Linked DNA regions of Sus scrofa. The protein of the gene in region 2 purifies or fractionates together with the protein of the main gene of each other region. This does not show direct contact. Links are inferred from orthologs where the notes say so. Each region holds a gene or a part of one and is shown on either strand. Other genes may lie near its edges.

What was found.
Region 1: the proteins of NSF (region 2) and NAPG purify together in Homo sapiens (affinity purification with mass spectrometry; 3 studies listed by BioGRID and IntAct, with this or other methods). This does not show direct contact. The link is inferred for Sus scrofa from reciprocal best matches to the Homo sapiens genes NSF and NAPG.
Region 3: the proteins of NSF (region 2) and STX12 purify together in Homo sapiens (co-immunoprecipitation; 4 studies listed by BioGRID and IntAct, with this or other methods). This does not show direct contact. The link is inferred for Sus scrofa from reciprocal best matches to the Homo sapiens genes NSF and STX12.
Region 4: the proteins of NSF (region 2) and STX6 purify together in Homo sapiens (affinity purification with mass spectrometry; 3 studies listed by BioGRID and IntAct, with this or other methods). This does not show direct contact. The link is inferred for Sus scrofa from reciprocal best matches to the Homo sapiens genes NSF and STX6.
Region 5: the proteins of NSF (region 2) and SCFD1 purify together in Homo sapiens (affinity purification with mass spectrometry; 3 studies listed by BioGRID and IntAct, with this or other methods). This does not show direct contact. The link is inferred for Sus scrofa from reciprocal best matches to the Homo sapiens genes NSF and SCFD1.

Annotation. Positions count from the first base shown.
Region 1 is NC_010448.4:97,960,326-97,965,295, reverse strand, and holds the end of NAPG (gamma-soluble NSF attachment protein), read left to right. Parts: coding exon 1-19; intron 20-823; coding exon 824-903; intron 904-1,667; coding exon 1,668-1,797; intron 1,798-2,084; coding exon 2,085-2,234; 3' UTR 2,235-2,747; coding exon of another isoform or gene 2,748-3,206; 3' UTR 3,207-3,989; downstream 3,990-4,970. Other genes in the region: uncharacterized protein LOC110261162, read left to right, coding at 2,748-3,206. UniProt on the Homo sapiens protein: Required for vesicular transport between the endoplasmic reticulum and the Golgi apparatus.
Region 2 is NC_010454.4:17,615,664-17,619,965, forward strand, and holds part of NSF (vesicle-fusing ATPase), read left to right. Parts: intron 1-1,722; coding exon 1,723-1,857; intron 1,858-3,204; coding exon 3,205-3,318; intron 3,319-4,302.
Region 3 is NC_010448.4:84,949,272-84,953,573, forward strand, and holds part of STX12 (syntaxin-12), read left to right. Parts: intron 1-1,762; coding exon 1,763-1,868; intron 1,869-4,302. UniProt on the Homo sapiens protein: SNARE promoting fusion of transport vesicles with target membranes. Together with SNARE STX6, promotes movement of vesicles from endosomes to the cell membrane, and may therefore function in the endocytic recycling pathway.
Region 4 is NC_010451.4:122,577,339-122,582,403, reverse strand, and holds the start of STX6 (syntaxin-6), read left to right. Parts: upstream 1-1,830; 5' UTR 1,831-2,037; coding exon 2,038-2,072; intron 2,073-5,065. UniProt on the Homo sapiens protein: SNARE promoting movement of transport vesicles to target membranes. Targets endosomes to the trans-Golgi network, and may therefore function in retrograde trafficking.
Region 5 is NC_010449.5:68,847,651-68,852,658, forward strand, and holds the start of SCFD1 (sec1 family domain-containing protein 1), read right to left. Parts: upstream 3,406-5,008; 5' UTR 3,326-3,405; coding exon 3,268-3,325; intron 1-3,267. UniProt on the Homo sapiens protein: Plays a role in SNARE-pin assembly and Golgi-to-ER retrograde transport via its interaction with COG4. Involved in vesicular transport between the endoplasmic reticulum and the Golgi.

The DNA.
Region 1 (4,970 bases), on a different chromosome or scaffold from region 2:
TTACCCAACTTGTTATAAGGTATGCTTTGAAGACGCTTGTTTTAGCTTTACCTTAGATTTCATGGTGGTGTGACTGTGCCTAAGACCAGGTTCCATGAATATGTGTTTTCTTTTTTTACTGGAAACTATAAATGAAATAAATTAGAATTTTTGACTGAAAAAGCAGTGTCTGAAGTAAAATACTGGATGGGCTTAATCTGAAAATGGAGACGACAGAAGACTCAGGGAACTTAAAGATGGATCAATAAGTCATCTCAAAAATGACCATAAAAAGATGGAAGAGCTGTCTTGCCAATACGATCTTACCAGTCCTGTGTTCTCATTAATCCTTTGTTAAGTGAATAGTACCGTTGCGTCTGTTCTGTGAAGTTTCCACTCATTCATCTTGTCCTTCTGTCCCTCTAAGGATTTTGGGGTAGAATTGCTGCGTTATGGGCCCCCTCTTACTTGTTCCCTTTTTGAGATTAAACCTGTGTAGGTGCCTGGAAGAAACTTCCTTTATAACATGTGATGGTTTTTCTCGGTGGCCATGTCTCTGAATGTGGTTCTTGGATTGGGTACCGGCACCACCTGGGAGCCAGTATGAGAGGCTCCCTCAGCCACTGACCCTGCCATCTCTTCAAGGAGACCCTGGGTGGAGTGTGCACACTGGAGCTCGAGGTGTGCTATTCTGGGATGTTCTGCCGGGGTCTTGTTGAGGTGACAGGGGGATTACAAATCTCTCTAGGCACAGACTGAGATTGAACGTTAAACTCCAGCCGTCAGGAAATTGTCTTTTCTGCATGGATATAAACATGGCCCATAATCGCCTCTTTTGTTTCAGAAAACAATTGCCCAAGTCTTAGTTCATCTCCACAGAAACGACTATGTGGCCGCCGAGCGCTGCGTCCGGGAGAGTTACAGGTGAGCCACCACCAGCTCACAGCTGTTCCTGACACTCAGCTTGGGCCAACAGTCCTGGGTTTTGTTTTGTTTTTAAATAGATTTCAGAGGATGGGAGTGCCTGGCAACCATTCCAGCTTATCAGTGGGATTTTTGTTGTTGTTGTTTTTGCTTTTTAAGGCCACCCCCGTGGTGTATGGAGGTTCCCAGGCTAGGGGCCAAATTGGAGCTGTAGCCGCTGGCCTACACCACAGCCACAGCAGTGTGGGATCTGAGCTGTGTCTTCAACCTACACCATAGCTTGTGGCAATGTCAGATCCTTAACCCACTGATGGAGGCCAGGGATCAAGCCTGTGTCATCACAGATGCTAGTCAGATTCATTTCTACTGCGCTACAATGGCAACTCCAGCAGTGGGATTTTTATGAGTTGTGTTCTTTCATATGTTTTTCTCCTGGGGGCTGCCACGAAAGTGAATGACTTGATTGAATTCGTGATATTCACCAAGAAAAAAAGGATAAGAGGGCAGTGCTCACACTGTGTTGTGAGGAGCTTGGGCTAAGGGCTTTCCTTGGAGGCGAAGTTTTAAGTGAGCAGGGCATCTGAGTCTGGGCACCCTGAGTCCAGGCGCCCCGAGTCTTTGCTGTTGGCCATCCGGGGTGTTGTAGGATGTCCAGCCTGCCAGGCCTCCTCACTTGTACGATCGGCAGTGTCCTTAGATGTTGTCACCTGGGTGGGGGCCGCTCTGTGGGGAACAGACACAGACGTGCCCTGGTCTTCCCCCAGCATCCCCGGCTTCAACGGCAGTGAAGACTGTGCGGCTCTGGAGCAGCTTCTGGAGGGCTACGACCAGCAGGACCAGGACCAGGTGTCCGAGGTCTGCAACTCGCCCCTGTTCAAGTACATGGACAATGATGTAAGTCCTTCCCTCTCCGGGGACCGGGCTTCCTAACACGGAACAGACCGTATTTCACAGGGACTCCAGCATCTCTTAGCTCAGTTGTCCCACATTCCTGTGTCTGGGTGTCGTGTCCCTGTCCCATCCCGGCCATGAGCCAGCTGAATGGCGCTGGGATTTGTGGTGGTTGATGCATCACAGTGGTGGCTAGGCTCTCGGAGGGCCAGGCTCTGTCGCACAGGTGTCGCCTGTTCGCATCTGGTCGTCCGGGTCGTCCAGTCTTAGACGAGCTTTGTCCTTGACAGTATGCGAAGCTGGGCCTGAGCCTGGTGGTCCCTGGAGGTGGAGTCAAGAAGAAGGTGGCAGCCCCTCCACAAGCTCAGCCAGAGGGCGCCCCTGCCCCCGCCGCCCCTGCTGAGGAGGAGGAGGATGAGTATGCAGGGGGCCTGTGCTAGGCTCAGTGTCCCCCACCTCAGGTACCTGAGCTGACGTTGGGGGTGCCCAGATCCCGAGGCCCTGGTCCTGATGTTGGTGCAGATGAGCCTCATTCCCGCGTCTGGACCACCCATCGTGCCCGCTGCCCGTGAACCATTTTTTTCTCTTCATGATAAAGCTCTTGTCAGACACCCGCAGGAGTGAGCAGAGAAGTCACTGTCACATTTTCATGCAGTTGATTTTATAATCGCAAACCAAATTCAGACACATTTGTTCTAAACAAAGCATTACTAGGCGGAGGGCCTCCTCTCTCTTGGGCTCTTGTGATTTCCTGTTAGAGAAGTTGTTTTGCGTTTTATTTAATAATTGCTGCTAAAAGTGACGTTTACTGGTTAAACAAAATAGTGTTTTAAATGTTCGTTTTCAAAAGGAAATTTCTCCCCCGTGATATTAGGTATATTTAAATTATTAGACCTTCAGAAGTGATATTGGGGCAGGAAGCTGTTTGAGCCCTGCCTGCTGTTTGTCCCAGGATGAGGTGCGTGCGGAGTCGCCTGGAAGTCTGTGAGAGAGCACAGTACGGCGAGTCTGTGGTGTCTTCTCTCTTCCACCCGCACGTGCACCGTGACTGTCTCCGAACCCCCTGGCTTCCTGACTGCACGGGAACTAACACGGGCTTGCTCACGCGTCCCGGCAGTGCAGCGCTTCCTCTCAGCCTGGCATCCATGTTTCTTCCCCCTGAGTGGCCTCTGGGTCGTGGGGGAGGTGCTGTCTATATCCCAGCCCGCGTCCCTCCTTCGCAGGCCTCCGCCCTGTGCTCAGACCCCCTCTCTTGCACAGGAAGGGCCCACGCTCCCGCCCCCACCTGTCTGTGCCAGCACAGGGAGCTCGGTGTGCTGGCCTCCGGGGATGCTGAGGCGGTCATCACGGGAGGTCCCGTCCCCCTGGGCTCCGTGGGAGAGCTGGCCAGTGTGCTCAGGCGGGTGGACTGAAGGGTGGAGATTGTCATCGAAGGTCGGGTGCAAACACTAATCAGTGTCCTGCCCCCTCCAGTCCTTGAGTGGTTCTGCGGGCAGCCGCCACCTGCAGACTGGAGGCAAACTGAACCATCTCAGGAAAGCAGATTTAGGCGTTTGTGTTTGGCATTGTGTTAATGTTTCAGAGACACCCCCCCCCCAATCCCGATCCACCAGAAACCTCAGGAGTCTTGTGCTGAGGTGCATTTGAGCTAATGAACAATCCATTTAAAGAGGTTTGGCAACACTGAAAAGATATTTTAGACCATCTTTTATAGACCACATTCTCCATTACAGCCTAGGGAAAGTTTTATTTTTACTCTTTCTTACATGTTAGTCAAAAATGAGCAGTGATCCAGTGCGACCTCCACCCCCCTCCCCTGTCCCAGGCCAGGTTACGAAGTTGCGGGGCTCGTGGCTGTTCCCCGAGGTCGGGGCTGTTCGTGAAGAGAGAGCCTCTCATTTTTCCACTATGTAGGCCTTTGTCCCGAGTACGGTGGGAAGTGAAGACGTGTTTACACCGAGTCTGACAGTCAGTGTTCCGCGGTGTTGTCAGTGCACTCAGTCCACAAGGCACACTTTGTATGTCGAATTCATCTGTACATATGCAGAGGATGCTATTTGTGTATAAAAACTGCTTTATCCCTGGTCTTTTTTCCAGCTCTTTGGTGAATAGAATATTAAATGTGTTATGGAAATGCAGATTATTGCTCCTTTAGGAAGATAATTATGAAAATAAAATCTGAAACTATATAAGTACGATTATTCTTTTCATTATTATCATTCATTTTGCTTTGCTCATGTCCTTTGTTTCAAAAACACATTCTCCACTCTTTACATGCTTCCAACTGCGTTAGATAAGAACAGTCTGTTCATCCAGGTTGTGCATCCTGCCCTGGGAGTCAGGTAAGCTCCTTTGGGGGGTACTTTAAACTCCGGACCTTTGGAAGGTGCCCATCAATCCTCCAGTTACTGTGGTACTTGCTCTCTGTACTTACGGGGGCGACACTTCAGTACACCCTCCAAGAGAACATGTCCTTCACTGAGTTAAGGGAGGTAACAGTACAGCAGGAGGTAAGAAAACGGAAGTGGCAGTGTTTGCATTTATACACGGTTCGCACCTTAGTTGCAGGGGATTTACTCGGTCAGAGGGCACGCTGTGTAATGCTCTGTCTTCCGGAGAATGGGGATCGGTAATAGAGTTCGATACCAGGAGTGGTAGAAATTGGAGTGCTAGGTGTAGGGAGTGCCGTTGGACGGCGCGGTTTTGGTTCCCTTGGGACACCTTGGAGCTGTGAGTGGGCTCTGGTCCCCTGATGTGTGTGTGTGTGAAGCTGGGAAGGAAAACCACCATGTCCCTCTGCCCGCCCCCCCAGGTTTCATCTTGGTGGTGTCAGTAAAAGGCTTGGTCCCGGCTTTAACTTTATGCAGAATTTAAGGATATTGAAAATATCTTAAAAGAGGCCGAAGCAAATACCTGTTTTGAGAAAGGAGAGCACATGTCTTCCATTTGAGTGTTCCTTTGAAATGGCCCAGGGGCCCCTGCTCATATAGAAAAGAACCTAATAACATTCAAGGGGCCTGAATAAAATTCATCTAAATAATTAGCCCCACTTATGACCTAGGTTGGTTAAATCCCCTTTGAATTTAAGGGTTAAAATGTTTTAAAGTAACGTTTATAAATTTCTCATTTCTGATTCTTCCAAAGCTTTCAAGAGGCCTAATTATGGCATTTTTATC
Region 2 (4,302 bases):
TAGAAACAATGAGTCAGAAAATCAGAATAGTATCAGTCTTCTAGTCAGCAACACTGAAAATTAAAAGACAATAGAATAAGCCCTTGAACATTCTGAGAGGACAATTATTTCTTACCTATTCTCTATCCCAAGCCAAACTATCCAGTATAAAGGGAATATACAGTATTAAGGGTGGGATAAAGGCATGTCCAGACATGTAAGGTCTTAATTTCACCTGCCATACACCCTTCCTCAGGAAGCTTTTGAAGTATATGTACCCCAGAAAAGAGGGGATAAGCGGGGGGGAAAAAAAAAAAAAGGAAGGCTAAGATAAAGGGTATGTAAGAGAGGAGAGGAAAGTTCTAGAGTAACAGCTGTGCACCAGGCCTGGAGAACAGAGGCCTCCAAGAGGAGGCTGTCTTCAAGAAAAAACACCCAAAACTTTAAAATCCCCTAACATGTTAGAACGTATTAAAAGGATATTATGGCTGCATTTATTTGGGGATAAAATTGTGATAGGCACCTAGTAAACTAAGCAAAGGGGGAAATGGCAATTCTTAACTCTAATAAAAACAAAGTGTTGCCCAAGAAAGGGAATTTAATAGTACACTACATGGCTTGGCCATAAGTCATATTTATATTATCATCGTAAATACTACATATAAATTTAGCCAGGGAGTTCCCATCGTGGCTCAGTGGAAACAAATCCCACTAGGAACCATGAGGTTGGGGGTTCGATCCCTGGCCTCGTTCAGTGGGTTAAGGATTGGACATTGCCGTGAGCTGTGGTGTAGGTCACAGACACGGTTCGGAACCCACGTTGCCGTGGCTGTAGCTCTGATTAGACCCGTAGCCTGGGAATCTCCATAGGCCGCAGGTGTAGCCCTAGAAAGCAGAAAATTAATTAATTAATTTAACCAAAGACTGAAATAACTATATTGGATGGACATGAAAAGGGACATATTGGAGATAGGGGATAAGTGCAAAATTAATATCAAATCTCCATCTTCCATAACAGGAATTCAGGAAATAACATTTAAACTGAAAAGAAAAATCTACATAGAATACTATAACCTTGTTATTTAAAGATCAGGAAGTAAATACAAGAAGAAAAACTAAGAGGTGAAAATGGTTCCCTCTCAGAGAGGGAAGCAGGAATGGTGGCCTAAGCCAGGTGTAGTTTTTAAACATTTCTTGACTATTTGGGGGTTAAAAATTAAAATGCAATTTTAAAATATTAAGTGAGACAATTTTGTAAAGCACTTAGCACTGTGCCTCTCACAGTTAACTGTTGCATAAATATATTATTATTACCCTAATCCTTCTAAAAAGCATAAAGCCTTGCTAAGTGGGTGGTGTGGACTTTCCATTCATTCATTTTTTTTTTCCAGCCATACATATACCGTATTCGCTGTGAAACATGAATTACAAACATATGCTAAGGTATCTTTCTATCTGGTTTGTGTGTCTTCCTGGTTTACTCATCCATTATTTTATTGATATGAATGAGGAGTAAGAGCAGTTGCCTCTTTCTGGACCAAGTTCTGAAGAAAGCGATGCTCTTTCTGAGTCACGTTGTTGATACTTTTAGATTTCCCAGAGCAAAATTCTGAATTTTTTCCTTCTCTTTTGTGTAATCATTCACATTTCTGCAATTAAATAAATGACTCTTGTTCAGGTTTACTCTAGTTTCCTAACCAGTCTTCTCCTGTGTGTTTTAACACATTTTCTCCCCATGATCAGGGCCGCAAGCTTCTTATCATCGGGACCACTAGCCGCAAAGATGTCCTTCAGGAGATGGAGATGCTTAACGCTTTCAGCACCACCATCCACGTGCCCAACATCGCCACGGGAGAGCAGCTGCTAGAGGCTTTGGAGGTGAGGATGAGTCAGTGGATTGCACACTGTTTAAAGAAAGGAGTTGAGGCTGGAATCAGTGCTAAGGTGTTGGGCACCTTCAAACTGAGCACCTGGTGTTCAGTTTCTGTGTTAACCTGGAACATGGAACTGAGGGTGTACCTCCAGAATCATTTTCAGGAATTAGAAGAAATAAATGTAAGTGAGAGGGAAGTAATTTCTCATTCCTCAGTTTCAGCAGCATACAAACTGCCAGGAATGAATAGTCTCATGCCCAGCCTGAGTAATGTATAGATGACATGAACCAGAAACGTGAAATAGAGGAAGGGGAGTCAAGTAATCAATATATGAAAAATTCAGTTATTCAGACTAGCTTTCAGCCCATTTACTTGTGTTTAATACATTGGAATAACAATTAAAACCTTAGAAACTTCTTAAAAAGACCTTTATTAACAAGTTCATGACATGGAAGTGATTGCTCACATTTTTTGAGAATGAGTCTTTAAATTTTTTTTTTAAAGTCCTTTATTAAACTTTCCATTAATATCAGTGTGTACAAATGACTTGATCAGATCTGTTAGCAAACATCCAGTGACTATTCAGCTGTGGTAGATTCAGGAACTTCTTAAAATCCTCAAGACCTATACCGTTGGGGCAAACACCCAACGAAGCAAATTATCGAGTGTTCCCTTCGTGGCACAGTGGAAACGAATCTGACTAGTATCCAGAGGACACGGGTTCGATCCGTGGTCTCACTCAGTGGCTTAAGGATCTGGTGTTGCCATGAGCTATGGTGTAGGTCACAGATGCTGCTTGGATCATGTGTTGCTGTGGTGTAGGCCAGCAGCTGCAGCTGCGATTCAACCTGTAGCCTGGGAACTTTCATATGCCATGAGTGTGGCCCTGAAAAGCAAAGAGAGAGAGAGAGAGAAAGAAAGGAAGAGAACCCATATGATATATGTCTTTGGGTTACCTATTTGTGCAGTTTTTGTGCTGGAGTTGAGTAAGAGAAATTAAATTTATTCTGCTTTGACACATACAGATTATTCCTAGAAAGGAATGTTAAGAATTTTAACTGATATTTATTAAGGATTGGAGCTCTTTTTCCCCCAGCAAATATGTCTCTAAATTATAATGACCGTCCATAGGAAAACAGGGCTTAGGATACCAATTTTCATTTTCAGAATTGTACCTACTGGACTCAGAAAAGTCAGGTTGGATTTTAAAGTTCTGAGAGAATTCTATCAGCTTGAACCAGTCAGGTAGTTCTTAGCACTCCTCTTTCAAGGGTAAGTATGAGAATTAACTACTGCCGTTGAGGCACTCATAGAGGTGCTTTCGTTTTTTGTTTTTTTATTGTTCACATAGCTGTTGGGCAACTTCAAGGATAAGGAACGTACCACAATTGCACAGCAAGTCAAAGGGAAGAAGGTCTGGATCGGGATCAAGAAGTTACTAATGTTGATCGAGATGTCCCTGCAGGTAAGATGCTGCCTTCGCCATGTGGCTCAGACATAGAAGCTTCAGGATATATGCAGAGAGGTTTTATCATTTCCTCTCACGAAGGTTTTAATTAAGTTATAATTCCCTTATGTTATTTCCAAACTCAAGTCAGTGTTAGGAGCCCACTTCTGAGATCAAACAGTAACCTGTTGGTACTTTGCTTTCCCACTTCTTAAAATGCAAAAATAAAAGATAGGAGTTCCCGTCGTGGTGCAGTGGTTAACGAATCCGACTAGGAACCATGAGGTTGCGGGTTCAATCCCTGCCCTTGCTCAGTGGGTTAAGGATCCGGCGTTGCCGTGAGCTGTGGTGTAGGTTGCAGACGTGGCTCGGATCCCGAGTTGCTGTGGCTCTGGCCTAGGCCGACAGCTACAGCTCCAATTGGACCCCTAGCCTGGGAACCTCCATATGCCGCGGGAGCGGCCCAAGAAATAGCAAAAATAAAATAAATAAAAGATAAAGTTACTCTAAGTTTTAGTGTAGGTAGCATTAGATCCTAGAACTAGGAAAGACTTGAAAGAACAATTGTTCTGCTGCCTCTCATTTTAGAAGGGAGGTTATTGAGTGTCCCACAGATTGTCAGTGAGTTATCCAAGGTCACTGCCAGTTGTCGAAGGAGAGGGGATGGCGTTGTCCATCAGAGGTCAGGAAGCTACTGCACAGACACCAGAAGGGCCCTGGAGATGGCCTCAAGGGCCAGGGGAAGTGAGTTGTATGGATTAGACTTGGGCTCTGTATATTTTCCCCTGGCTGGGTTCCTCATAATTTCAGGCAAACTGCTGCGGGGTTGAATTGTCCAGGATCACATAGAAAACTAAGCCCCAGGCTACTGCCTGGGCAAAAACAGATGAAGCTTCTTTGGGACTTTCTCACATCCTCTGGCAACTTAGCTTTCTTCTTTTTGCAACTTTACCCCTCCCTGTGCCCACCTTGTCTTTTGTTCTTACCTGACAGACTTGCTAG
Region 3 (4,302 bases), on a different chromosome or scaffold from region 2:
TAGAAACCATGAGGTTGCAGGTTTGATCTCTGGCCTTGCTCAGTGGGTTAAGGATCTGGCGTTGCCATTAGCTGTGGTGTAGGTCGCAGACGCGGCTCGGATATGGCGTTGCTATGGCTGTGGTGGAGGCTGGCAGCTACAGCTCCCTAGCCTGGGAACCTCCATATGCTGTGGGTGTGGCCCTAAAAAGATAAAAAGACCAGAGTTCCCATCGTGGTGCAGTGGTTAACGAATCCGACTAGGAACCATGAGGTTGCGGGTTTGATCCCTGGCCTCGCTCATTGGATTAAGGATCTGGTGTTGCCGTGAGCTGTGGTGTAGGCCAGCGGCTATAGCTTCAATTGGACCCCAGCCTGGGAACCTCCATATGCCGTGAATTTGGCCCTAAAAAGCGAAAAAACAAACAAACAAAAAAAAACAATGAGAAAAAAGAAGGAAGAATAAAGGGAGCCCTATGGTGGGTAATTTATAATCCCCCAAATAAAAACATCAAAATTGTGGGCTTTTCTAAGATCTTTAAGTTATGGAAGGAATAATTTCAAGTGAATAAAAAACTTCTAAGAAATCTCTGATATCTCTGTGTTGGGAAAAGTGTTTAGCTCACTAGGAGTAGATATGAACCCACAAATCTACAGATTAGGAGGTCTAAATAATTTTACCTCTAGTTCAGAATTAAGTTCTTCAAAGTTCTTGGGTCTCTGTTTACTTTTCTCTGAAATGGAGGCAACACATTCTTCAAAGAGTATTAAAAGAAAAAGCAGGAGTTCCTGCTCTGGCACAGCTGGATAAGGATCTAGCCTTGCCACAGTTGTTGTGTAAGTCACAGCTGCAGCTTGGATTCAGTCCTTGGCCTGGGAACTTCCATATGCCTTGAGTGTGGCTGGGAAAGGAAAAACAGTTTGTATCTGAAAGCTATCTCCTTTCTTAACTTCTCCACACTGAATTAACTAATTGCACAGAAATGTACTGATGGTATTAGTTCAAAATGTAAAATGTTTTATCAGAGATATTATCTTCCCCCCACTATACTATGAGTACCTCAAAAGCCTCTAAGTCAGTTTTTTTATCTCCAGCACATGGAGGAAATTCTTTAAATATTGTTGAGATAATGTGTGATTTATGCGTACTGTTGGAAAAATACTTAACACTGGATTTGCAAAGTGTTCTGGGTCTAGTATAATGTGTCATATGCCTTTCTTCTAAATATGGTACCTGAAAAGAAGAGTTGTATTTCACTAGCTTTTTACTTAGATTTACTTTGATTTTACAGTCATTTAACCTAAAGCGTAACCTCAAGGAGATTCCTGAAAACCAGGAGATGTGATTCTGTTGGACTAGTTGGTGAAGCACCAACAGGTCGCTTAGCCTGCTCTCCTCTAAGGATCTCATGTAGGACCTGAGAGACCAACACAGCTTGCACTTTGAGAGTGACCTGGGAGAGAATAGGCTAGTTTACTTTGTTGACTTCAAATCTCTGCCCACTGCTTGTCTAGCAAGCCCCAGCAAGATTGCAGAGTGTACCCCTGAATGGAAACAGCAACAGGTCTCATCTGTCACAATTCTACTTCCTCTTAGTTTTACCCATGAAAGCTAAGACTTTATTTTCTTGGTGTTACCAGCTCTTTGCTTCTGGTGATGAAGAATGTGGCCTTCAGGGCCTTGTACTGATGCCAGAGGAGTTGGAACCCTGGTACTGTCTTTGGGGGGGCTTTGCTGGCACCTTAGAGAGGAGGAATCAGCTAATGTGCTTGTCGCCCTGCAGCCATGAGGAGTGGAACCAGATGCAGAGCCAGGAGGATGAGGTGGCCATCACCGAACAGGATCTGGAACTCATTAAAGAGAGGGAAACAGCGATTCGGCAGCTAGAGGTGAGAACCAGGTCATGTTTTTTGTCTGACTCGTATCTGTAATCTCTAATCCACCTTGCTTTTTCTCTTGGTGATTATGAAAAAAGACGAAATGAGTTGTTGTGTAGTTTGCATATTATGTCTCAAGGTAATCATGGTGAGCTTGAACTACTCTTACGACAGTATTGGCTATCATGTCTGAGAATACCCCAATTCTTTTCTCAGTCATCATATCTTATATGGTCTGCATGAGAGTATGTATAGGGAATAGAGCAAGGCAAACAGATATTTTATTGCTCATTAAGACGCTGTCTCCAGAGTTCCCATCTTGGCACAGCGGAAACGAATCCGACTAGGAACCATGAGGTGCGGGTTTGATCCCCAGCCTCACTCAGTGGGTTAAGGAACTGGCGTTGCCGTGAGCTGTGGTGTAAGTCGCAGACGTGGCTCGGATCCTGCGTTATTGTGGCTCTGGTGTAGGCTGGCGGCTTCAGCTCTTATTCGACCCCTAGCCTGGGAACCTCCATATGCCAGGGAGCGGCCCAAGAAATGGCAAAAAGAAGAAAAAAAAGACGCTATCTCTGAACCTCAGTGCCAACCTCTGGGTTTGGTAGAGCTCTGCAGAGAGCTTAGACCGAATAGCCCCAAATAAAGGCAGGCCAAAATGTTTGCTCCGTTTTTGTGCATCCCAAAGTTCACTCTCAAGTTGTGGATATCACCTCAGTGGGTCAGAGAAATAGGAACAGTTTCTGAGGTAGGTGTTGAGGGAGAGGTATTGAGGCCTTTCTTAGCTGAGTTCCCCAACTTTAATTTTGCACAATGACCAGTAAAATATCCTTAAACCCAAGAACTTTTCTCATGGAGATAGAAGACTGCCATCCCTGGGGCAGTGGGGAGAGGAGGGTTGTAGAGAGAAACTTGGAGCTCTTCACTGACCTTCATCTGTGGCAGTGGTTCTGAACCCTGACTGCATTTTAGAATTATTTGGAGATTTAAACAATTTTTATTGCCTTCAAAGATGTCATATCTTTCCTTCCCCCCCACCCCCTTTTTAATGGCCGCACCAGAGGTATTGGGAAGTTCCTGGGCCAGGGATTGAATTCGAGCCACAGGTGCAGAACACCAGATCCTTTAACCTACTGCACCAGCTCGGGGATGGAACTTGTGCCTCTGCTGCGACACAAACCGCTGCAGTTGGATTCTTAACTCACTGTGCCACAGCAGGAACTCTTTTTCTCTTTTTCACCTATTGCTCCTAATCATCAGCTTGATTCTTTAACATTAGAAATACTGTTATAGCAGGGGTAGAGTTAGGGTTAAGGAGTGGACTGCAGTGTATGTCAGGAGTGTAGTGGGCACTGCACATTCAACAGAATTAAGGCCAGATTCCTTAGGGCTGGATTTTCATATCCAGTCATTTCCTGCATTTAACATACAAACCCTATTCTAATGGTGGAGTAACACACTCCTGTGTGTCTCTTCTGTTCTCAGACTATACCTTGACACTTCTGGCCCCCAAATGTGTGGGTTTTTTCCCCATCAAGCAATTCTGCCACACCACAGGGATGTCCTAATTTAACTCAATGCTGACGCTTTCTACCTGGAGTTAGTTACATCGGATCACACAGGTTGAGGTTTCAGTCCCACAGGACACGCACACACATACACACAGACACACAACTTCAGATACCAGTCACAAGTCCAGATTGTCCCCTGTGGTTCTGACTGACATGGAGGTTCTTGTGATCACCTTCCTTTAGTTTGATTAATTTGCTAGAGCAGTTCACACAACTCAAGAAAACAGCTTACTCCCTAGATTACCAGTTTATTATAAAAGGATACATCTCAGGAACAGCCAGATGGCAGAGAGGCACAGGGCAGAGTTTGTAGGAAGGGGCACAGAACTTCTGTGCCCTCTCCAGGTGTTCACCAACCAAGAAGCTCTCAGAACCCTGTCCCTTGGGCATGATTGATTAAATAACTGGGAGTTCCTGTCATGGCTAAGTGGTTAACGAATCCGACTAAGAACCATGTGGTTGCCGGTTTGATCCCTGGTCTTGCTCAGTGGGTTAACAATCTGGCATTGCTGTGAGCTGTGGTGTAGGTCGCAGATGCAGCTCGGATCCTGCGTTGCTGTGGCTTTGGTGTAGGCCGGTGGCTACAGCTCCGATTAGACCCCTAGCCTGGGAACCTCCACATGCCGTGGGAGCGGCCCTAGAAAAGGAAAAAAGACAAAAATAAATAAATAAATAAATAATTGGCACTTGGTAATTGATTTAACTTCAAGCCCTCCCTTCTCTCCCCAGAGGTCAAGATTGGGGCAGAAAGTTCCAACCATCTAATCACCTGGTTGGTTCCCTGGCAACCAGCCCCCATCCTTAGGGGTTTTCCAAAAGTCAAGCTAATAACAAACTCAGGAATGGTTGAAAGAGGCTGTCATGAATAACAACAGACA
Region 4 (5,065 bases), on a different chromosome or scaffold from region 2:
ACTGGGATTCAAACCCAAGTAATCTGGTTGCAACTCTGGATCTTAATCACCATTCTCATCTCAATTTCCATGTGTTTGTTGAATGAATGAAAGATGATCCCTTTTCAATTCCTCACCTCAATATGTTCAGAACTGAAACAGTTCTCTTCCAGGAGGGTTCCCCCCCACATCTGACCTCCATCGCTCCTCCAGGGTCTTGGAGAAGCCTGGAGTCTTTGACTTTTACCTCTTTCCTCCCTGATCCCATTCAATCTCTCATCAAGTCTAGTTGTTTTGTTTTGTTTTTCCTTGGAAACATCTATCAGATTCTCTCCTTCCTCTCCATTTACAATCCCTGCTGTCCTGGTCTAGTCCTCATCCCTTCAGGTGAGATGACCACAGCAGCTTCCAGACTGGTTTCCCTAACTTCACTTCCTCACTCTGTGGGAGACTTGGGGTTTCCAGGCTTTTTTTTTTTTTTTTTTCCCCTTTTAGAGCTGCACCTGCAGCACGTGTAATTTCCAGGCTAGTGGTCGAATAGGAGCTGCAGCTGCTGGCTTATGCTGCACTTCAAGGCAACTCTGGATCCTTAATCCACTGAGCGTGGCTAGGGATGGAACCCACATCCTCATGGATACTAGTTGGGTTCTTAACCCCACTGAGTCACAACAGGAACTCCATCTAGCCATTTTTATTTAAACTTCACAACAATCTATGAGCTAAATATTCATATTTTATAGATGAGAGACTGAATAACAGAACCCAGGTTCAAACAGGGTTTGTCTGGCTCTGAGGACTCTTCTATCTTCAAAAAGACTGCTAACTTTAAGCCAGTCACTTAAATTCCAAGTCTCAGATTTCTTATCTGTATAATGGGGATTACAACATTGTGAGAGCACCTGAGATAAACTAAGCTCAGTGCCTGCCACACAGTATGTGCTCAATGATAATCAGCAATTAAAGTTCGCAAAACCCATAGACTATCTAGCGTATGAGTTTGATAAACTGTTCTGACCAAAAGGCTTCCTGGAAGAGCTCTTGAACCACTTAGCTGGTAAGAAGTTGCCAGACCTGGCCCCTTCTTTGTCCTTCAAAAATGCTCTCTTCCAGGAAGCACCATATGCTGTATGAAAAAATTATCTTACTGATCACTTCAAGAACACAGAAAAGACAAAAAACGCAACACACACAAAAACACATCCTAGCCTGGTGGAAAGTGCACAGAATCTGGGGCTCTGCCCTGTCCAGGTTGTGTGAGCACAAGAAATCTTGAAACCTATATGAATTTTTCTAATCTGCAAAATGGGAATAATAATACCTTCCCCTCCAAGGATACTGAGATAACTCACAGCCTTCAGCGTCTTGCTGGGCACTATAAGACCCACAGAAAGGAGTTGTGCAACATTATCAGAGTCAGATAAGGTAGACGAGCTTTATTCTAAGTCGAGGACGAGATGGATTTCTAAATCTATATGTTATCAAAATAAGTATCAAAAGGAGAGGAAAGGTGAAAAGATTGTGCAAAGCTGATACTATCTCCGTATCTAGGAAACCTGACTACCTTTCTTGCCAGGGAACAAGCAGCTCCTCCCCCTGAATCTTGAGAGGTGAGTGTTGAGAAGACCCGCCCTCTCCGCCGCCGCCAGAGCCCCGCCTCCAGGGTCGAGTAACGCAAGGCCCAGGCCCTGCTGATGGGGGGTGGGGGGGGCTCTGGTCACGTGAGCGCGAGTGCGGAAGTGGTGCGGCTGACGGCGTTCGTGATTGGTCGAGGCTGAGGGACCTGGGGGCGGGGCCAAGCGGCCGGACGCGCCGGGAGGAGCCGAGGAGGGGGCCGCGCCGGGGCCGGCGCCAGAGTCACGGCTTCGGTCTGAGGTGCAGACAGAGTACTGGACCCGCGGCGGGCCGGTGCACCCCTGCCTGCGCGCGCAGCCGCTACAGGTCCCGCAGGCCGAGACGCGGGCTGCTGCGCGAGGCGGGTGGGGTGGGCAGAGGGAGATTGGGAGGGCGCGGGCGCCCTGTGCGCAGAGCAGGCGTGAGGCGGCCGGGGGCCGGGACGCCATGTCCATGGAGGACCCCTTCTTTGTGGTGAAAGGGTGAGTGTCGTAGGGGGCTCCACTGGAGGAGGCGGCGGCAGTGCTGCCTGCCCTCACCTCCCCGCTTTTCTCGCTCTAGGGGGAGGGGAGACAAGTAGAGTCTGGCGTGGGGACCGCTTAGCCTTGAGGGCTATGATAAAGCGTCCAGAGACATCCCCTCTTCGTGCTACCTGGACTTTGAAACCGTGCCCCCAGTCAAGCCCCTGGGGAGGGGGGGGGTCTCCTTTGGCTTGTGCGCCGTTCTACAACTTATGGAGGGGTGTCGAGGGGTTCAGCAGCTCCTCAGGTGGGGAGGGAGACAGGCGTCCCAGACCAAAGTGGGGCTGTAGTGGAGCACCGGGCCCTGCTTTGAAGGGGGAAAAACAGCATCTGGGCAGGAAAAGGGAAATGGGCCTCCTGAGCTTTGTAGTTGGCGTGGACGGGGGTGAGCTCCCATTGTCCATTGAGTTCGGAGCGCTGGCCCGCTGACTGGCGAGACCACAACAAGCCCAGAGGCGTCTGAGCACGTTTGCAGGCTGGGAGGCGGGGGCGCGAGGCTCCGGAAGACAACTCTATTCAGTGGGGGAGTTTTTACCGAGTAATGGGAGGGGAGGAAAGCTGCTGTTCAAACTCAGTGGTGATGTTGGAAGGAAAACAAAATGAAATCAGCCAAACCAAACTTTCCTTAGCTTTCTGTTAGCACAGGGATTTTCCCACAGTGCTAAAGGAAATGAGTGCTTTCTTTTTAACTCCCTGATTTCATCCAGGCTATTTGACAGGTTTCCCCCATTTCTTCTTTTTTCTGCCTTTGAGACTAGAGCTGTCCTAACTTATTTTTCCCTAAGAAGTGTCGTGACTCCATCTTTGATTGCTCAATTGTTTGTTTGGAGATAGAAGCTTTAACTGCACTCTGTTATATAGGCTTTGTAGCCATTAAACAAATGCAGAAAAGATTGATTCTGTTGTTATAACTTGTCAGCTTTTGTTTTAAATGTCAAACAAAACAATCTGAGAACTGCAACGTTCTGGAAAAATCAGTGCCAATGACCTTAAAGTGCCTCTGCTTTCAACTAGTTGCTACTAGCTTCCTATTTCTGTAGGGGTAAAAGTTGACCAGTTGCTTGAGTGTTATTTTTTTTTTTTTACGGTTCATTTTACAAAATTTAAATGGTACTTTAAGTTAAATACTTTATTACCCATGATACAGTTAAATATATTTATGTATTTCTAACATTGCCTTTAAAAGTTTTTTTTTAACCTGACTTTAATATAAATGGAAAAACGCTGAGTTTAGATTATTGGTAATATGTGGCTCTCTACCTGGAAAATGTGTGGTTTATTAGGATTGATTTTTAGGGGATAATTTTTAAATGTGAAAACTGTTTTTTCCTTGAGTGAACGTTCTTAATGCTTAGGGTTGCAAAGGTTATCTCTGGCTGTGGAGACTGTAGATAATCAGAATTTTAAAATTTTTAATGGGATTTGTGAAAATGCAAAATTGTTTTGCCATCTTGACTTTTTTTTTCTTGATGGTAGCCAGTGCAGTTCACCAGTGCTTGCTCACTGATTAGATATCACTGCTTTATTGGAACATTGGCCTTGAGTCTTGCTTGACTTTGACATCATTTTAGCTCATGTTCTTAAGATGTCAAAACCTTCTGCTTTGTGGGAGTTCCCGTTGTGGCGCAGTGCAAATGGATCCAGCTAGTATCCATGAGGACATGGGTTCCATCCCTGGCCTCACTCAGTGGGTTAAGGATCTGGCATTGCTATGAGCTGTGGTGTAGGTCACAGATGAGGCTTGGATCTGGCTTTGTTGTGGCTGTGGTATAGGCCGGCACCTGTAGCTACAATTCAGACCCCTGGCCTGGAGGGAACTGCCATATGCCACAGGTGCAGCCCTTAAAAGAAAAAGAAAAAAAACCCTTCTGCTGTGGAAAAGTAAAATTAGCTACATGAGTGCCTCCACAATGTGTGAGGGAATGTATGGAGCCATGTATCTCTGCTTATTGAAAGTTTTGAAAATGCACCCCACGATGTGGAAAAATTAAAGATGCTTGAATTGTGGCCCTTAGCCTAGGAGCTGGTAGTCTAATCTGAAAAAAACTTACCCCCAAATTAAGTAGAAATGACAGGTGGTAAGTGATCAAATGCTGTAGCCTAGGAGCTGGTAGTCTAATCTGAAAAACAACTTACCCCCAAATTAAGTAGAAATGACAGGTGGTAAGTGATCAAATGCTGAAGTGAATGCTACAGAAGATTAGGTGCCCCAGTAGTCCGGAGAAAGGCATCTCATTAGGAATGGCTGTGGTTGGAAAAGCTTTGGAGGTAGTAGTATGTCTTAGGTTTTGAAGATGGGTAGCTCTTAGATAATTCAGCCTGTGTCTCTTCTGGACTATTGGCAAGAAGAGTATCCATTTGGTCCTCTTGCTCCCAATCCCTTTCCTCTTTCATCTATCTTAGTTCTGCTGGCTGGGTGCTCTCCAGTATGCCGGTGTGAGCCACACATGCCGTGTTACATTGCCTAGTAGATGCAGTAAAAAGTAAAAGACAAGTGAAATTAATTTTAATGTCATCTTTAACCAGTATACTCAAAATATTTCAACATGTGATGAATATAAAGACTGTTAATGAAAGATTTTTCCCTTTTTGTACTACGTCTTAAAAATCCGGCGAGTATTTTGTACTTAGAGCACATCTCAATTTGGACACTAAATTTTCATCAGAAACACTTGATCTTTATTTGGAGTTCATTAAACACACAGTTCAAAGTGCGGATTGATGTACCCAGATTGTTCCACGTATACTTTCAGAATTTTTGGTAGCTGAAGTGTATATCAGTTTTTAAAGTTAAATTAAAATGTAAAATTTAGGAGTTCCCATCGTGGCTCAGTGGTTAATGAATCCGACTAGGAACCATGAGGTTGCGGGTTCGATCCCTGCCCTTGCTCGGTGGGTTAAGGATCCGGTGTTGCCGTGAGCTGTGGTGTAGGTTGCAGACGCGGCTTGGATCC
Region 5 (5,008 bases), on a different chromosome or scaffold from region 2:
GCTGCATGCAGCATAGGTCATAGATGTGGCTTGGATCCAGTGTTGCCCTGGCTGTGGAGTAGGTCACAGCTGCAGCTCCAATTCAGCTCCTGGCCTGGGAACTGCCATATGCCACAGGTGCAGCCTTAAAAAGAGAAAAAAAGAATCTTTAAGAATGTAATTTTACATTATTTTACATTAGAGTAACTCTCTAAAGGCTTAAATTATTGCTTTTAACTGAAATGATTAAATATACCATACACACCTAGACTTGGCTAATGTACTTTCACCCTCACCTGGAATGTTTTTTCTTTGCTCACTATATATTCAACTACACGTACTATCACTCAGCAAATGTTTAGTGAGTGTTTGCCACCTGCCAGACATAGCTCTAGCTGTTGGTACTAAACAAAATGGACTGAATAAAAGTGACCTATCTTCAAGTAACTGTCATTCTAGCTGGGGGAGAAAGACAACAAAATAGTAAAACATATGATACGTGAGATCATGATAAGTGCTATGAAGGAAAACAGGGGAGGAAGGAGGAAGAGGGAGTTGTGAATTTTAACTTAAGTAGTCAGGAGAGGCCTCCTGAGAAGGTAACATTTGAATAATGACCTACAGGAGGTGACGGAGTGAGCCATGCAGATATCTCTGAAAGAGTATTCCAGAAAGAACACAAAAAGGCTCTGAAGTGGAGCACTCTGGTGTGTTCAAGGAAAGGGGAGAGTAAAAGGGATTGAATCAGAAAGTTAAGTGGAGAGCAGATCATACAGAGCCTTGTAGACCACTGTCAGATTGCTTTGGCTTTTACCATGATTGAAACAGGGAAACTAATAAATGACTTAAAGTGCTAGAGAGTTTTGAGCAAATATGTAACATGATCACTTGGGATACTATGTGAAGAAAAATGAAGGGAAACAGAGTTTTAAAAGCAAGGAGACCAAATAGGAGATTACTGCAGAAACTCATGGTGGCTTGGACCTGTGTGATAAAGGTCAGATTCTAGGCGAATTTTCAGAGCAAAGCTGGCAAGATTTACTGACAGATCTGATGTGAGATATAAATGACAGAAGTCAAGAAAGTGTCAAGGTTTTTGACCTGAACAACCACAAGAATGGAGTTGTCATTACTTGATATGGGGTAGACTGAGTCTGAGGAGAGGTCCAGGCTAGAAATATAAACGTGGGGATCATAGCATATAGAAAGTACTGAAAGCCAAGAAGCTACATGAGATCACTGTAAGAGAGAAAGCAGTTGATTTGGGGTTCTCCTCTAAGAAATGGGAGAGTTGAGCAAGAACCTGCAACAGAGAGGCATGCATGAATGACAACGGTAACATAGGATTCTGCCTGTTGAACTAAAGGATAAGACTAGAGTGTTTCAGGAAACTGTAACAAAAGACATGATTTTTGAAGTGACTTTAAAAGATGAATAAAGACTCTTCAGGCAGGCAAAGCAAAAAACTGGCTAGTTAAACTTTCTATAACTTAATTACCTGGAAAATGGAGATAAAAATACATGTAAAAATCACTTAAAACAGTCTCTGACAATACTAAATGTTCAATAAATATCAGCTATTATCTACCCAAATAGACTGCAAACTCCTTTGTACCAGAGTCTTATATCTAGAATATTTAAGAATCAACTGTGATCTATTTTCCAAAACATTCTCAATGGGCATCAGGCAAATGTTTACTTCTGCCACTACAGCACATATAAAGATGTCTGCCTTTCTCCCAAAATAAGACAGAACTCAACTGTAGTACTAATTTGATAAATCTGGAATAACCTATGTAGTAATGATGTGAAATATTGCTACAATTAAATTTATTACTGCAGAAATCCAAATTATGTGCTATTAGATTTTAATATTCTACAAAGTTTCTGCATATAAAAATTACTAACAAATTTAATTTTTCAAAAAGCTCCTTTATATTGGCATAAAGTCTTTCTTAACATGTTTTTTATTTTAATATGCAGTATGACCTAATTCACTGAGGTTCAGTAAGATGTTGGAACCATACTGCAAAGACAAGTGGGGTTTCTATTTGTTTATACAAATAAAATGAATGGCAGGTATTCCTCAAATTTTATTTGGACTTTCATGTATTTAAGTTATGCCTGACTTCATCTGATAGTTTACACTAAATTATCCATTGGTGGAAAGCAGAACATAACTCATTATGCACTGTGTATCATTACTACATTAAGGTCTACCATTAATTTTTTCTTTGAATTCCAAAGGAAGGAATCAAGCATAGCCAAAATCCTTTCTATAGACCATATTAATTGTAATCAGTTGTTTTCCTACACAGATTTATATGCAAAAGAACATAATTACAAGAGACAGAATTTCCAAATATGCATATTCTTGATGGCTTATTTCTACTAGCTCCTCAGAATTAACAGTTTGCCAATTTTCGAGACAATTAGCTAACAGGTATAATCCATTAGTTTGTAGCTAACAGGTATAAACCAAGTTGTCATCACAAGTTTCCAAAAAATATGGCAAAACTAAAATTATCTAAGATGGAAAAAATACCAAAGCTCAAAGAGAAGGAATGTGTATTTTTTAAAACCGTATTTCACAATATACACAGGAGCTATATAATTACGTTCTATTAAACATGAAACTAATAACGCATAGTTTAAGAACACTAATTTGCCAAATAATTAAAATGGGAAAGGTTAATTCATTTATTTTGCCATTCTTATACCTCATTCCAGCATGCTGAAGACAGAAATCTTTTAACACTGAGCATTTCTCATCTGGTACCCCCAAAGATTGGTCCAAAGGAGAGAAATGGCAGAATGTAATCTGCTCTGAAAAGAACACTTAAATTTTGTTATTGTGGTGGAAGTGCCGGAAGATGCAACTCTAAATATTGAAATGGGAGAAAACTGAACCATGCACAGAAACAAATCCGAAAGACCTCATAGGCAGCAACACAGGGAGGGGAAATGCCAGCTGCTAAATCTTGTCGTAAAGGCCTTCTGAGGTCCAGTAGGAAAGCGACAAGTGCAGGACAGGACCGTAGCAACCTGCTCACCCGAGAAGCCACTTCTCTGGCACCACTTCCGAGGGCCGAGTTTTCAAGCTAATGGAATCTCTTCCCTAAAAACTCAAGAGGGGAGGGGCTCTCGATGCTCGGAGAACAGGATTAAACTTTTGAAGGTCCACCTCTGAGCTGCACGCACCGCGACCGAGTGAGGGCGACAAGCATAGGAAGCTTGTCCTCACTGCAAGCATGAAACCTCAGGGAAGAGAAGAGAATAAGTCGGTACCTGTTTGTCTCTCGCGAATACTTGCTGCCGCGGCCGCCGCCATCTTGACTCCCACCATTCACTGCCCGGCTGGCAAGCGGAGCCTGTGGATGACGTGGCCGCCCCGACCGCCCCGGAAGCAAAGCCCGGAGGGGCGGGATCATAGAAGGCCGAGCCCCGCCTCCCCTACGGTGACCCTTCCGTACCCTCAGCAACAAAACTTGCCGAACAAAGAATGAGGGAATCATTTTTGGACACCTAGGCAGTTTACTTTTCGGAGGCGGAACAGTGGGAATTTTTATCCTATCAAGCCGCAGGTTCTTAAAGAGTAGCTGCCTTAAATTGAGCTCTTAGGGTAGAAACGTGTTGTAGTGCCAAGAACATATTGACTGTTAGTTTGGTCGTTTGCATATCTCTTAAGTGTGATAATACTCCTGGGGCTTAAGGGTCACAGGACTAAAGTAAATGAAGCTCCTGGAACAAAATCGGCACTTAAATGCCAGCTCCCTTTTCTTTTTACCAGCGCAGCTTGTTTCCCTTTTGCTCCCCTTTCCAGGGAAACGGTCAGCTTTGGTGTATTGCTCTCATTTGGCAGATTTCTCAACCTCACGTGCAGGTGTCTTCTTAATGTACGCTTAAAGCCATGTGATAACAAAATATATCCGATATTGATGACTTCTAATCCATAGATTTTTTATTGGATGTCAAAAATGGACACACAACTCTGTGCATTAGCTATTGTTTGTTCTGAAGCTGCACCAAATTCTGAAATTACAGACCCTGTACCTTAAAAACTGGTTTGAAAACTTAAATTTTCAAATTTTTGAGACTATGTTTAACAATTACATAAACAGCAAAATCTATAATAAAACACTACTCCACAAATAAGTTTTTATGAAACTTAAGACTGATAACCTTAATGTCATCAGGGAACACCCTAGAACTGAATCTATTTTTTTTTCCTTCCATATTTTTTTCAGCTTTATTGAGAGTGTAATTGACAAAAGTGGAAAGATCCTTGAAATGTACAGTGACAATTTGATATATATACACATACATTATGAAATAATGTCCCTCCATCTAGTTAACTATCACATCTATCAACTCACATATTTTTCTTTGTGTGTGAAAAATACTGATTTCTCCTCTTAGCAAATTTCATGTATACAATATAGTTATATCTAGGAGTTCCCATTGTGGCTCAGCTGGTTATGAAGCCAACTAATAGCCATGATTAAATGAGTTCAATCCCTAGCCTTGCACAGTAAGTTAAGGTTCTGGCATTGCTGTGAACTGTGGTGTAGGTCACAGACATGGCTGGGATCCGGTGTTGTGTGGCCAAAGAGCTGCAGCTCTGATTTGACCTCTAGCCTGGGAACTTCCATATGCTGCAGGTGCGGCCCTAAAAAGCAAACAAAACAGTTATCAACTATAGTCACCATGTTATATATTAGATGCTCACACCTTATTCATCTTATAGCTGAAAGCTTTTTACTGTTTCATACATGTGGAATTTAAAATATTAAAGTTAAAACTCATGGAAACAGCAGAAAAATCACTATCATTTTTACAGCTAATTGGCATATTCAATAAGAAATTAACTGGAATATTTACTGCTTTATTCAGTGTTATCAGTAATATTTTGAAGGAATCACCAATGAACTAGGTGTGCTATAATTAAACAGAAATGAGAGTTCCTGTGCTATGTGAAAGTTTTACTTCATTTTTTGTTTTCATGGAATATATAATAAACAGGCTTTCC